2 linked regions of the Diceros bicornis minor genome follow. Each later gene encodes a partner of the first gene's protein in a complex. Links are inferred from orthologs where the notes say so. Each region holds a gene or a part of one and is shown in the gene's direction. Other genes may lie near its edges.

Region 1 (7,244 bases):
CAGGCACCAAAACTCACTGAATACACCGCCTGAAGAGTTCTCTCACCCACGTCTCTAACAGGGCCCCGGCATCATCACTAGACCATTGCTGTATATAAATACTTGTTCATTATCTGAAGAAAGCAGTGGATCCTCAACCCATAAAAATGCACACAAGCACAAAGTCTGGCATGCAATTTAAGGCATTCATGTCCCAACTGGACTCCTTGCCCCTTTAAATCTACTACCAAGCTCCAGCTAAAATGATTTCTTTAAAACTCAAATCTGACGCCGCCAACCTGCTTAAAATCTTTCGCTGGCTCCCCAAAGTTAGAGACTGAAGTCAAAACCTCTTCACCAGGACACACAAGATCCTCCATGACCCGGCTCCTACCTACCTCTCCAGTCTCACAACCAGCTTCACACCTGATTAATCTCTAAGGAATGCCAAGCTGCTGGAGGTTCTCAGCAGGCACTATGCTCTATGCTGCCATGCTTTGCTCTCGCCGTTCACTCTGCCTGGAATCTCCTTCCACCTTGCATTCACTCTGCTTTCAAGACTCAGTTCAGGCTTCTTCTCTTCTAGAACGCCCCCCTTGGACCTCCAGGTTGGGCTTAGGGACCTGTCCTCCACAGCTTGGGTATACACCCTGATCATAGCATATCATAGCACACACTGGAAAGTCTGCTATTGTCTACTTGTGACTATCTCACTCTATGAACTGTGAGCTCGTCAAAGGCAGCAGCAAGGTTATTCATCTCTGTGTACCCAACGCCTGGCACAGTCTGGCAGAGGACATGCTTAGTGAACTGGAGAACCTTCTTGGGAGATGACACGAAAATAACAACTCCCCTGCACTGAACAGCTGCATGTGCAGCCCAGTGTAGGTGCTCTACTGTGCACCTCTAACCCTTCTACTGCAGACCGGCAAGGCTACCCTATTACAGCCCCTTTCAATAAGGAAGCCAAAGCTACGAGATTAAGGGACTCGCCCAAGGTCTCCAAGCTAATAATGGGTGGGACCAAGTCTGGAACCTACACAGACTAGCTCCAAAGCTCTTTCCAGAGCCCACCCTGCTCCCCACGTATTCCTCACTGTTGTGAGCGCCTCCCACGTGCTGCTGCGCAGGATGACAGTAAACAGGACAGACATGACCTCTGCCCTCTGCAGTGAGGGATGGGGGTGGACGCGGAGGGAAAACCAACAGGAGCCGGCACAAAAAGTGAGCGCTCCTCACCGCCCCACAAGGCAGAGCCCGACACGGGCAGCAGCCCCGCGGATGCCCCATTCCCGTCGCCCTTCCCACGGGGCCGCTCCGCACACGACATCCGTCGTCACAGGTGCTGCGGTCCCACCCCAGACAGGAATCGGCACCGGGGCACTGCCTCCTCTCTCAGGCCGGGCCCACTCTCGGCTCCCGCCGCCCACCCCAAGCCGCCTCGGGGCCTGGGTCCCCGACCAGAGGAGGGCGGGTCCCCGCGGAGACCGCGGCCCCCGCGGCCCCACCCATCCGCCCCACCGCGGGCCTCCCCGCCGGCGTCGCCCTCGGGGCCCGCGTTCCCGGCCAGGCTCCGCCAGGGCGCAGCGAGGGCAGGGCTCTCACCTCACAGCCGCTGGCCCATCCCTGGGGTCGTCTGCGGTCGGGGTCAGACACCCACCGCCCCAGCAGCAGCCGTCGCAGCAGCCATTCCAGTGCTTAGTCCAGCGCCAGCTTTTCCGGGCCCCCTGGCCCCTACCGCCAGGCCCCGCCTCCGGCACGTCACGCAGGCGCAGTCTTGACCTCGCCCCAGGTTTCTGACCTCCTGTGGGGCGGAACCTCGCGAGCGGGGATCTCCGACCGGAAGTGGAGGGGAGGAGCCTAGTGCCGCGGGCGCCGGAGTGCCGGAAGTTGTGTTCTTGGTGGATGGCGTTCTGTCTGCGGGTCCCGGTGGCTGTGCTTCCAATTTAGGAACGCTCCAGCGACCTGTTCCTCGCCTAGTCTCTCCTTCAGACTTCCGAGATGTCTGCGATCCCTGCTGAAGAGAGTGACCAGCTGCTGATCCGCCCCCTGTAAGGGACCAGTGAGAGAGGGCAGCAAGCCGCGGGCTGCGAGAGGCGAGGAGTAACCCGGTGGTTGGCTCCTCAGTCGCCCCCGCGCCGGCGTGCCTCGGCCGCCTGCCCTTGGTCCGCAGCCTGGCTGACGGGGTTTGGAGATCTGTTGATCGGAAGGGGCGTGCTAGGTTGACTGGGATTTTGCTTTTCTTCAAGCTCAGGGGAGAGAATGTTGGAGTTGGGGGGCGGTCTTTGGGGCCCTGGACGCCTGTACCTAGAGAGTGGCCAGCCCTGAGGGAACCGGTGCTGCTGATGACGGCAGGACGAGATGAGGACCTGGATAAGGCTGTAGCAGTGCGAGGAGGAACTCAGTCTGTTGCTTGCTACCTCCAGGACTTTTTACATTTGCCAGGATGTGAGAGAGGAAATAAATTAGGGATTTGCTATGAGTTTTGATGTTCTGACTTCGGAGTCTAGCAGAATAAGGAAGGTAGAAGGTTGGAGAGAAGAGCAGAGGTGGTAAGGACAAAAACTCAGCCCTGGATTGTCTGGAAGAAGGCTGGTCTTTCCATGGAGATGGCCTTCTGTCGGGAGCACTTCACAGATCTGGAATGCTGCTGAGAAAGGGAGATAAATGTGGAGAACTTAGCCTCTCCATGGGCAATTCGAATCCACAAACGTGTTTGTTGTTAAATATTAGTTGGCACCACATGAATGTGCATTTTCAAAAGGTAGGAAGCATCTCCTTTACACGTTCATTCAATAAGGACTCATTGAGCACCTCCTGGGGACATAACACAAGTTTCCCACTGCTTAGTTCACACCTGTCACCTCTCCCTGTGTTCAGCAAACACCCAGCAAGTGTCAAGCACCACACTAGGCGCTGGGGATATAAGTAGGACAGAGGCTGAGTTAGTTGGATTCACCCTTTGAATGGAATTGCGGTGCAAAATGAAAAGTACTGGAGAGAGTTTGGAATAGTAGGAGAGCATGACTTTGGAGTCAGAGCTGAAGTCCAGTCCCAGCTCTATCACTTACTAGGACAGCAGCCTCACTGAACCTGTTTCCTCACGTGAAAATAATATAGCAACGTTTATTGTGAGGGGTAAAGGTCACGTCGGTGCTCAGTAAATGGTAACTGTTATAAGAGTATAGATGGACGTTGCACTGAGTGCCGTGAGAGTGTGAAAAACGGATTTCTAACAGAATGAGGAGAAGAAAATGCCATCTCATGCGTCCTGGAAAATATGATGCGTGAGCTGAGTCCTAAAGAATGAGAAGGAATTAAGGACGGGTAAAGTGTGGGGGCAAGGATGTTCCAGTAGAGGAAGTGGCACGTGTGAAAATGAGAGTGGTCACAGTTTGTGGCGAGTTTCCTCATGGCTGTGGCTGAAAGATTAGCAGATGAGGTGGAGAGGCTATCAGGGTCCATCTTATGAAGGGCTTTTTTTATATGTACTAAGGATTTGAGGCCTTTATCGTCAGGTGTATGGAGCCAACAAAGGATTTTAAGCAGGGTTGGGATATAGTGGGAATTATGTTTTATGAAGATCAAAGATCACTCCTAGCAGCAGTGCAGCAGATGAATGAAAGGGTGGATTAAGTGGAGGGAATCCAGTAGGATGAAATTGAAATAATAAGCAGTGAGAGCTTGGAATGAGTGAAATGAGCAACAGTGGAATAGAAAGAAACAGGTTTGAGAGAGTAGGGAAGTGAAACCTTTAGAACTTTGTAACTGATCAGATGCATTGGAAGGGGCAGTTGGGAGGGAAGGCAGGGCAGAGAGGAATGTTAGGGTGACTCGGATTCCTAGGTAGGCAACTGGTACGTGGTCATGTTATTCCCTTAAGGAGTACAGGAGATGGGGCAAGTCTGGAGGAAATTTGGGAGTTTTGTTGTTTTTAACAGCCTTATTAAGATATGTCACATACAACTTACTCATTTAAAGTGTACAATTCAGTGGTTTTTAATATATACACAGAGTTTTACAGTCATTACCACTGTCTAATTCCAGAACATTTTCATCATTCTGAAAAGAAACCCGGTACCCATTAGCAGTCACACCTATCTTCCTCGCCTTCCCTAGCTCTAGGCAACCACTAATCTACTTTCCATCTCTGCAGATCTGCCTGTTGTGGACATTTCATATAAATGGGTTACAGTATGTAACCTTCTGTTACTGGCTTCTTTCACTTAGCATGTTTCCAACGTTCATAATTTGGACTTTTTTACTCATTCAATAAGTATTTCTTGAGATTTACTGCATGTCAGGCACTGTAGCTATAAGTAGGGTGAACAAAATAGACAGTGTCTCTGCTCTTATGGAGCTTTCGTTTTAATAGTGAAAAACAAGCCATAAATAGGTAGATACAATAACTCCATGTAGTTGTGTTATGATTGAATGGTGTGAAGGGCAAATGAGAGGAGGTAGTCAAGAGAAGGCCTCTGAGAAGGTGACATTTGGACTGAGACCCAAATGATACAAAGGAGCCAATCATGTCAGTATCTGAGGGCAGAGCATTGCAGGAAGGTAGAAGAGCAAGTGCAGGGGATTGGTTGGGCGTATTTGAAGTTAAGGTGCCTGTGAGATATCCCAGGAGAGATACCTAAAGCCCAGGTGTAGATTAGAGGTCTAGAATTCAGAAGAACAATGAGGGCTACAAATACAGACTTGGAAATCATCAGCATGTCAAAAACATGAGAATGAAGATCACGAAGACTGAGAAGAGGGCCAAGGAGAGAACCTTTGGAATATCAACATCTGAAGGGTGGGCAGAGACAGCTGAGTGTGAAGGAAACTGGAGGAAGACCAGCAGGACAGGATGAGAGCAAGAAGTCAGAGAAACCAATGGAGAAGTGCTTAAAGAGGGAATGATGAATGAGGGTGACAGGCGGCCAAGAGAAGAAGTAAGAGAGGGACTGAAAAAGGCTGTTTGTACTTAGCAACAAAGAGCTGCTTTGGGGGCCTGCCTGGTGGCGTAGCGGTTAAGTTCTTGCGCCCCACTTCAGCAGCCCGGGGTTCACAGGTTCGGATCCTGGGCGCGCGGAGGAGTGTTTGGGAAAAGCCAGATTGCAGTGAACTGAGTGAGTGGAGGTGAGGACATAGAGGCAAAGAGTGTACACAGCTCTTTTAGGAAGCAAACTGGGAAATGGAATAAAGTGGGAACTAAAGGAGATTAGAATTAAGGGATTTTAATGTGGGGATGAGAATGACTGTAGCATGTTTAAATTCTGATAGTAAAGAGAAGATGGCAAGGGAAATGTTGATGATATGGCAGTGTTCAGTTCCTCAGGAGGGAGTGTATAGAGTGTAGAACCATGGTGAAAAGATTAGCTTTAGACAGAGAGGTCTGTGCTCTTGTTACAGGAGAAATGGAAGGAGAAAAGATGTGGGTGGGTTGGTAAGTAAAGTTGAGGAAGTTGACAAACGAACTATATTTTTTTGATGCAGAGAAGGTCCATGCCCCAAGTGAAGAAGAAGATAGAGGATTGGAAAATTTAGGAAAGGGGAGGAAGCTTGAAATCGTTACTATGGAAACTATAAAAGAAAACTGAGCTAGGGACGCTTCAGAGGGTGCATAGAGGGCCAGTTAAAATGGAAGGCCATGGGCCGGCCCCGTGGCTTAGCGGTTAAGTGCACACGCTCCGCTGCTGGCGGCCCGGGTCCAGATCCCGGGCGCGCACCGACACACTGCTTCTCCGGCCATGCTGAGGCCACGTCCCACATACAGCAACTAGAAGGATGTGCAGCTATGACATACAACTATCTACTGGGGCTTTGGGGGCGTGGGAGGAAGAAATAAATAAATAAAATTAAAAAAAAAAAAATGGAAGGCCAGGAATTCGTGATAGCACTATGGCTGTTTGATTCTCTTTGTTTACATCTTCTTCAGAGGTAGGACCTCGGTTTGAGGGTAGATCTCTTTTCATGTCTATCTCCTAGTAGACTGTGAGTTTCTTGAGGCCAGGATCCTAGTATTAGGCATTTCCATATGCTCAGCACTTAATACAGTGCTTGGCAAATAGAAGCTGCTTAATGTTGCATGAGTGAGTGACTCAACCTAGAATAGTTGGGGAAAGACATCAACGGAGGTGAGAGATTTGAAAACCAGGTGAGGTTTAGCTTAAAGTCTTGTGATAATTGGAAATTAAGGCTGTTATATTAATTTAAGAAGGAAGGAAGATTGTTTAAGTGCTTGGTATCAAATATACGAAATAACAGAAAGTAGAAAGGAAAGGGAATGAGATTCACAGGTATGAATAAGATAAGTCTATTTAAATTTAAGCTATTTGGTAAATGCATATTAGGATATTAAAGAAAATGAAAGAATTTTGAAGTGCTTATGGGTTTATACTTCAGTGCTAATTCTAAAAGTATTATTAAATAATCGTGTATCACTGCTAACTTATATTTTGAATACAGCATAATTAACCCTAACATTCAGAAGATTGAATTTAACCATCAGATTTCTCGGATCTGTACCATCTTCTCTCAGTTTTAACAACTGAAAAATCCCTGAACTCCCAAAGATCACTTTTCATCTTTTCCCACATTGACATGTTCTTCCCTGTCTTTGTATTTTTGTATAACTCTCATCGGCCTCAAGTGCTGTCATCAAATGGGGCATAATTTAAGTTGTAAAAAAGTTTGAATTTATTGGCCTTGATTTTGATTGTTTTGTACTCATTTCTGTTTCTCCCCTTGAATGTTTACAGTGGAGCTGGGCAAGAAGTAGGAAGATCATGTATTATTCTGGAATTCAAAGGAAGAAAAATAATGGTAATTATTATTTTGTAGTCAGGTTAACAGTATGGCTCTGTCAGCATTGGGTGTTAGGTTTTTTCTAGTACAGTAGTTATCTGTTTAGCTCCCAGAATAGTGTCATAGTTGGTATACATAGTCTGTGATGTTAATGTGAAAAACTAATGCACACTTCTACTTAGTAATTTGACAAAACGTTAAGTAAACCGAGAAGATATATTCCAAGATTCTCTCCTGAACTGTTGCTTCTTCAACTCTTGGAGGGTCTAGCCAACCTAACCGCCCCACCTGCAGTGGAAGGCCTCAAGGAACTGGCTGCCCCAAAACATGCAGAGCTCCAGCCACCCCAGTGCAGCATGTGATGATAGAGCCCTGGTTTGGCAGCTTAGCTACCTAAGTTAGCATTAGGGCCTCTGACTTTGGGCAAGGCAGTGTGAGCCCATTTCCTTATCTGAAAGATGGAGTGATTA
Region 2 (7,243 bases), on another chromosome or scaffold:
GCACTCAAGGGGCTGGAGTCGCTCTTCCTTCAGCATCTGCCTCTCAAACAGGTCCAGGGCCTCAGCCAGCTGTGCGGGGGGAACATAAGAGGGGGCTCAGGGTGGCCTCAGAGAACCTCAGCCAAGAGAGGGAGACTGAGGCTGAGGTACCCTCCCCTGGGGCCAAGACCAGGCCTACCCAGGAGCCAAACACCCTGTGCTCTGCAGCAAGGGAGCTTCGTGGTGGCCAGGAAGAAAAGCCCACTGGACACCCACCACCTAGAGGAGCTCTCGGCCCTACTGCCACGGCTGCCTTCCCTCTAGCAGGACAGTGAACTCCTTGAGAGCAGGGGCCATGTCTTTGCATCTCTGTGGCTCTCGAGTGGAGCCAGGGCCTGGCACTTAGTAACTCCTCAGAAAATGTTAATTCTGTGACTCCCAGGATCTGCCTGCCCTTGCTTCCTCGGTGACCCCACCTGCAGTGCCAGCCCCCTGGCTCTGAACTGATGGGAGTCTGGGTTCCAGTCATTTAGTAGGGATGCTCAGAGCCACTGTGCTGCACGATCACAGGGGGCTGTGACACGATCACAGCGACAGTCTCCTGAGATGGCACAGGATGGCAGCCCTGTGTCACTAGCTTCCTCCAATTGCAAACCCCTTTGGCCCACAGTAGTCTTTGCCCCATCCCTACTCCTACACCATCCCCTTTAAAGCCTCAGTTCACTCCTTTACCACTTAATTATCTTATTTCATCCATTCATTCAACCAGTAATCACTGAGTCCTATTAGGTACCAGACAAGGTCTATATGCTGGGGATACAGCAGTGAGCAAGAGGGAGCTCCCTCATAGAGTACATCTTCTAGCGTGGAAAGACAGACGCCAAATGAGATAACTAAGAAAAATATATACTATGTCAAATGGTGATAGGTGCTATGTAAAAAATAAAGCAAAAAGTGTCAGAAGAAGGGTGTGGGAGATTCAGTTTTAGATACGACAGCCAAGCAGGGCCTCACCCAGAAGTTGACAGATGAGCAAAGATCTGAAGGAGGCCAGGGAAGGAGCCATATGGCTATCTGAGGGAACAGCCAGTGCAAAGGCCCTGAGGCAGAAGTGTGCCTAGGAGTTGGAGGAGCAGAGAGGAGGCTGAGGTGGCTGCAGCAGAGTAAGTGAGGCAGAGGGGATGAGAGCAGAGAGATAAGGGGTGTGGAGGGCAGATCCTGCAGCCTTCATAAGCCATTGTGAGGACTTTGGCTTCTCTTTGTTTACTTCTCAACTTTTCATTATGGAAAATTTTAAACATACACAAAAGTAGAAAGAAGAGTATAAGATGGTGAAGAAGAGTGTACAATGATAAAGTTTGGCCAATCTTGTTTCATTTATACCCTGCACTCTCCCCCAAACTGTATTTTTTAAGGCAAATTCCAGACATTCTATCATTTCATTCATAAAATCTTCAACACATACCTCCAAGAGATTTTTAAATAGAAACGGAATGTCATTATCAATATCTAAGAAAGTGAACATCATCGATGTCACTGAATACACTGGGAGTTCTGGAGAGAAGAGTAACATTATCTGCTTTCTGCTTTAACAGGATGACTCCGTGCTGCCAGCTGACGGCGGGGCAAGAGGAGGAGAGAGCCTCGGGGAGCCCAGTGCCATGCGTTGTAACAGCTGAGGAGGGCGAGGAGAAGGCTATGCCTGGGTGTTCTGGGGTAGGGTCATGAGAAGCGTTAGGACTGGTGACATTTTGAAGCTAGAGCCAGTGAGAGAAAGAGAAGAGTAGGGGTGACCTGAAGGTATTTGGCCTGGGCAGATGCAACAGTGGGATTGCTATTCAGTGAGATGAAGAAAGTATAGGGAAAACAAGGTTGGGAAAAACAATCTCGGTGGATGTAGGTGGGTGTAAGAGAGATGGCGAGGAGGTAGCTGGATACACAGATCAGGAGTCCACGGGAAGGCCAGGCTGGAGATACAAATACCAGAACTGCAGTGAGGAGGCTGGCACTGAAAGCCAGGAGGCTGGCGGGTCACCCGGCGCAGTACCTGGGGTGAGTGAAGACAGAGGAGAGAAGAGCCCTGAGCACCCCAACATTCAGAGATCGGGAAGGCAGGGCCCCTCACAGAATACCGAGCCATGGGCAAGTAGGAGCCAGGAGCAGCAGAATCCACAGGTTCCCTCACCTTCCCTTCCTTGATCAGGTGTTTGCACTGAAAGAAGTACCAGTAAGGGGTGTTTCTTCGGCCCCGCCATGATTTTGGCTCCAGCTCCCTTGCCTCGTCTTCTTCAACACTCTGTTCCCTGAGCCGCAGGTTATACAACTGGGCCGTCGATTTGCGGAACATTCTCCGGGAGGAGTATTTGTCGGAGAGGGTCCCAAAGCTTTCCTCCCCGTCTTCCTCCTGGGTGGCTGTGGGGCTGGGCTGGCTGGGGTCAGAGCTGAGGCTGCCCGTGTTCTTCTGGCTCCCCTGGCCCACGGGCAGCTGAGAGAGGGAGCTGCTGAAGGCTGCTGGCGCTGGCCGAGTCAGCCCCACGGCCCTCAGCCATGCAGGCCTCTTCCTGCCTCCTGCCCACCTGGCTCTGAGAGGGTCAAGGTGTTGCAGGAGAGACAGTCCCACGGGGTGGGGGCGGGAGAAGAGCTGGGCAAGTTTCACGAGGTCCATCTCTGGCTTTCCCCTCCAGGGCCTGACAAAGGTCAGAAAAAATAATGAAGTCAACTCAGGATCGCAGTCACAAAAAGCAGAAAGAAGACAGAGAAGTGGTGACAAGCCCAGACCGAGATTAGAAAGCCTAGGTTCAGACTGCAGCTCTGCCAAACAACCATCCATGAGTCCCTGGGCACTCACTGCTCTGGCCTCAGCCTCCTTGCCTGTAAACTGGGGTTAACTACAACGTTGCCCACACAGCACTGTAGCAATGACTGAACGAGGTCTCAGATATACACAGTGCAGTACACTGCTGGCACAGTAAGCAGTCCACGGACAGAAACTATTCTCAAGCCATGATCTACGACATCTGTCACTGAAGCCAGATCTGAGTTTGAGTCCTGGCCAGAGCTGTGACTGGGCCCATTACTTGATCTCCCTGTGCCTCATTCAAATATGATGTTGAAATAAGTATCAAAATGTTTTAAAGACAAACTTATAGCATACTAGTATACATGCTTCTTTTTCTTATTTATTTATTTATTTTTCCCCCAAAGCCCCAGTAGATAGTTGTACGTCATAGTTGCACATCCTTCTAGTTGCTGTATGTGGGACACCGCCTCAGCATGGCCGGAGAAGCGGTGCGGCGATGCGAGCCCGAGGTCCGAACCCGGGCCGCCAGCAGCAGAGCGCACCCACTTAACCGCTAAGCCACGGGGGCGGGCCCCGTGCTTCTTTTTCAAGGCATTAAATAACAAGACCCCATCATGTCAAAGCAGTGCTGAGTGTAAATGACAGCTTGCAGTGGCTGCAGATACTCTGTCTCCAACTATCATTTGCACTCGTCCCCACTTGAAATCACGACTTAATTTCGGGCACAGCTAACGCTACTCGTCCGTCAGTCACGGAAAGCAATGCTCCATTTCACACAGAGAAAATAAAGGTGTCATTTTCTTCCTACCCAAGTTCATTAACCTGCCCAGACTAATAACCCCTGAATTAGAGGCACGCTGCCGCTGTCCTTCCTCTGGGTACCCGCTGCCCGCCGACGCTCCCCGGACCCTCAGGCCACCGGGACCCCTGTCCACACTGGCCTTCAGAGCCTTGGTTTCCTCACCGGGCGCCCCCGGCTCCGACCCCGGCTGCGAAACTCGCTACCTCTCTGGCCTGTCCCCGCCCAGGTCCCGGGCTCCGGATCAAATAGCAACTCGCTCGAAGAGTCCGGCCCAGTGAACGCGGCCCCACGCCCGCCCGGCACCGCCTCGCTCCCCGCCCGGCCTCGCGTCACCCCCAGTGGCGTCCCAGCCTCGCCGCGCCGCAGAGCCTACTCTCCTTCCCCGCCACCTCTGGTGCGCGCCCCAGGCGACTTCGCGCAAGCGCAGCCCGCGTCACGAACTCCCCGTGCACGTGGTTTCAGGTTACCCGCGGCCCAGAGGACAGGCGGGCGTTCGGCTGGCGGCTAGCCGGGCCTAGCGGAGCGGCCCGTACTCCGCGCTCGATTGGCCCGGTCTGGACGGGCGACGGGCAGGCGCGGGCTCCAGGCGCTCCCGGCATCCCTCGGGCAGCGGTGGCGGCGGCGGCGGCGGCGGCGGCGAGGCGAGGCGAGGGGAGGCGGTGGCGGAGCGTGTGCGGCCGGGCCGGCGGAAGGCAGAGGTGTGAGCGCGGCGAGGGACCTGAAGGGGAGCCGGGCCGGTGGGGCCGCCGCCGCCGCCATGCAGGAAATCATCGCCAGCGTGGACCACATCAAGTTCGACTTGGAGATCGCGGTGGAGCAGCAGCTCGGGGCGCAGCCGCTGCCCTTTCCCGGCATGGACAGTGAGCGCGGGGCCGGGGCCGGGGCCGGGGCCGGCGGGCGAGGGGCGCGACCGACTCGGTCCCGGGACCCTCTCAGTCCTAGGAGCCCGTCCTCTGGGCTCCGGGATGTCCTCCCCCTCGGTTCGGGACCTTCTTCTTGGTCCCAGCATCCCCTTCTCTGGGTTCCGGGACGCCTTCCCCCCGGGTTCGGGAGCTCTTCCCCTTCGGTCCCGGGGGTCCTTTCCCCCCGGTCCTGGGATCCCCTTCTTCCTGCACTCGGACTCCAGAGCCGTTTCCTCGGATCGTCGATCCTCTGGGCTCTTAAAAGGCAATCTTAAGGAGAGCAGGACCATGTCCTCTTGTTCAAAGAATTCTTGAATGAAGGCGGCTATCTCGGATTGGCAGTTACTCCCTCCTCCCCCTAACTACAGGAAAGTACTAAGATAGCCCCCTTTCCCACCTCCAGCCCCCCCCAGCTTTGAGCGCCCTCCTCTTGTTTTCATCCCAATTGGGATATTGGATGACTCATGCTGAGGGAAGGACCACCTCTCCCTCTCTGTCGGAGACCCACAGTTAGACTCTCAAGCTCCATTCCTCTCCTAGGACTCGCACTTCTGGGAGCCTATCCCCACTTTTTCTCTGGACCCCAACTCTGGGTCATTCATGACACCTGGGCAGTTGCCTGGGCTCCCTCCATTCTCCTTCACATGGTGGCTCCTGCTTCCCCCACGCCCTCACTTAGGTGGGATGTCTAGGACTTTAAAAGAAACCAGCAGTTTTCCTGTCTTCTCACCTTTGCGGATACAGTTGATGTCTGACGCTATAACATTAAAGCTCAGAGGGCTCTTAGAAGTCGCTGAGTTCAATCCACAGGTGGGGCAACTGAGGCCTGGGTGGGGGAAGGGACTGGCTGAAAACCACTCAGTGCCTGGGGAGCTGGGTAAGCTCTCCAGAGTTCTTGACTGGTTCTGTTTGCAGTTCCCTGTGCTGTCTCACATAGCTGCCAGTGGACTTTGGCCCGTGTTCAACCACCGGTCCCTGGTCTGGTAGAGACTCCCTGCAGCCTTATTCCCCTCAAGTGCACTTCTGCACACATGGCCTCAGGTGTCCCCCTCATGCTGACACTTCTGTGTGAGATGTTGCTTATACCCAAGAGACATACCTCAAACAACCTTATTTTATATGTGCACAAGCACCATCTCCACTGTGCATGTCTTATAAGGAACTGCTCAAATTCAAATACACACTTATTTATCTACCCTTCGATGCATGTGATCACCTCATGCTTGTACACGTACATCCACTTGGGCACACGTGGCCTTTTCCTGTGTTGGTGGCACTAGCTTGAGACCATGGAAGGTCCATGCAGGGCAGCTCTTTCCCTCCCACCTTTTTTCAGCCTGGGACCACAGATACTTGAGTCTGTGAGGGCAGGCACAGTGGCGAGGGGCCCACACACCTATTCTTAGGGAGGGTCAAGGACAGCCTAGCCATGCGTGTGGCCCTAGCCTCCCGCCTCATGGCCCTAGCCTCCCACCTCAGACTTGGTAGGTGCCCTCAGCACTCACTGCCTGCCCTCAGATTGAGTTCATTGTGTTAAAGCCCAGGGCGGCCACAGCCCTTCCTCCCTTGTCCCTGCACTTCATTCCTGTCTTAGTTTTGGGAAGAGCTGTCAGTTCTGCCCTCAAGGCATGCTCTTTTATCCTGTCCGCCTGAAACCACTAGACTTCTGGCTTTAAGTAATGAAGCAACCTTAATCTCTGAAAAGAACGAAGGCCCAGAAATACTCTTAAGTGATACATTTTTTAGTGTAAGACTTTTTAGACTTTTTGAAATGCAAATGAATGACAGTGTTATGACTCCCAGTTCTACAACCTTAAGTCTGTCCTAGCAAAATCTGCCTGCTTCTAAGAAGCCAAGGAATCTCGTGCAAGTTAGCAAGGAGAGGCACGTAAATGGCCTTCAGAGATGCTGTCAGTGGGTTTTCAGCCATTCTAAAATGCCTGCTGATAGAGAAAACTGTTTTTGAAGCCACGACAGTTTATTCTGGTAGCCATGGCAGGTGAATTTCTGGTGTCGTTAGAACAGCTTACTCCTGGAGCCCACTGACTTCTACCATGTTCAGCTTTTATTCTCCTGTACCCCTCTCCTGAACCGGCTGCATCTGTGTAAGCAAGAGACTGTGCTCCTTTAATAATTGTGTGTTGATGTTGCATATTAAGAGCAGTCCTGCTTCTGTGTCTTTTTTTTTTTTTTTTTTTTTTTTGGTGAGGAAGATCAGCCCTGAGCTAACATCTGCCAGTCCTCCTCTTTTTGCTGAGGAAGACTGGCCCTGGGCTAACATCCGTGCCCATCTTCCTCCACTTTATATGGGATGCCGCCACAGCATGACTTGCCAATCGGTGCGTCGGTACGCGCCCGGGATCCGAACCTGGGCCGCCAGCAGCGGAGCGCGCGCACTTAACCGCTACGCCACCCGGCCGGCCCCTTCTGTGTCTTAAATTATGCTTTTCCTTTCAGAATAGCGTCTCCGAGGCACTCGCCTCTTCTCTGCAGCCTGTCCCTCCTCAGAGTCCCCATTTGCTTTTTTGTGCTTCCTGCCTCACGTTAAAGTGCCGGTGAATTAGCCCTCTGGAAGGTCCGAGCTAGGGGTAATTAATTTCTGTGATCTTGTGCTCCATCCTTCCCTCTCCCACCCACTTGTAACTCCCTGAAAGCGTCTTGCTTATAGAAGGCTTTCAGAAAGCATGGAGTAATGACTGGTCTCAATGTATATGTCTCATTTTGCAGGGAATGGCTGAAATAAGCTTTTTCCTTGCTTGG

The links. The genes of interacting proteins can lie anywhere in the genome.
Region 2: CPSF3 (region 1) and CPSF4 share a complex: the UniProt entries of both Homo sapiens proteins name them as parts of the cleavage and polyadenylation specificity factor (CPSF) complex. The link is inferred for Diceros bicornis minor from reciprocal best matches to the Homo sapiens genes CPSF3 and CPSF4.

What each region holds. Positions count from the first base shown.
Region 1 is NC_080751.1:70,609,492-70,616,735, reverse strand, and holds the start of CPSF3 (cleavage and polyadenylation specificity factor subunit 3), read left to right. Parts: upstream 1-4,232; 5' UTR 4,233-4,709; coding exon 4,710-4,780; intron 4,781-6,728; coding exon 6,729-6,792; intron 6,793-7,244. UniProt on the Homo sapiens protein: Component of the cleavage and polyadenylation specificity factor (CPSF) complex that plays a key role in pre-mRNA 3'-end formation, recognizing the AAUAAA signal sequence and interacting with poly(A) polymerase and other factors to bring about cleavage and poly(A) addition.
Region 2 is NC_080765.1:7,260,073-7,267,315, reverse strand, and holds the start of CPSF4 (cleavage and polyadenylation specificity factor subunit 4), read left to right. Parts: upstream 1-4,222; 5' UTR 4,223-4,338; coding exon 4,339-4,441; intron 4,442-7,243. Other genes in the region: PTCD1 (pentatricopeptide repeat-containing protein 1, mitochondrial), read right to left, coding at 1-69, 2,165-2,809. UniProt on the Homo sapiens protein: Component of the cleavage and polyadenylation specificity factor (CPSF) complex that play a key role in pre-mRNA 3'-end formation, recognizing the AAUAAA signal sequence and interacting with poly(A) polymerase and other factors to bring about cleavage and poly(A) addition.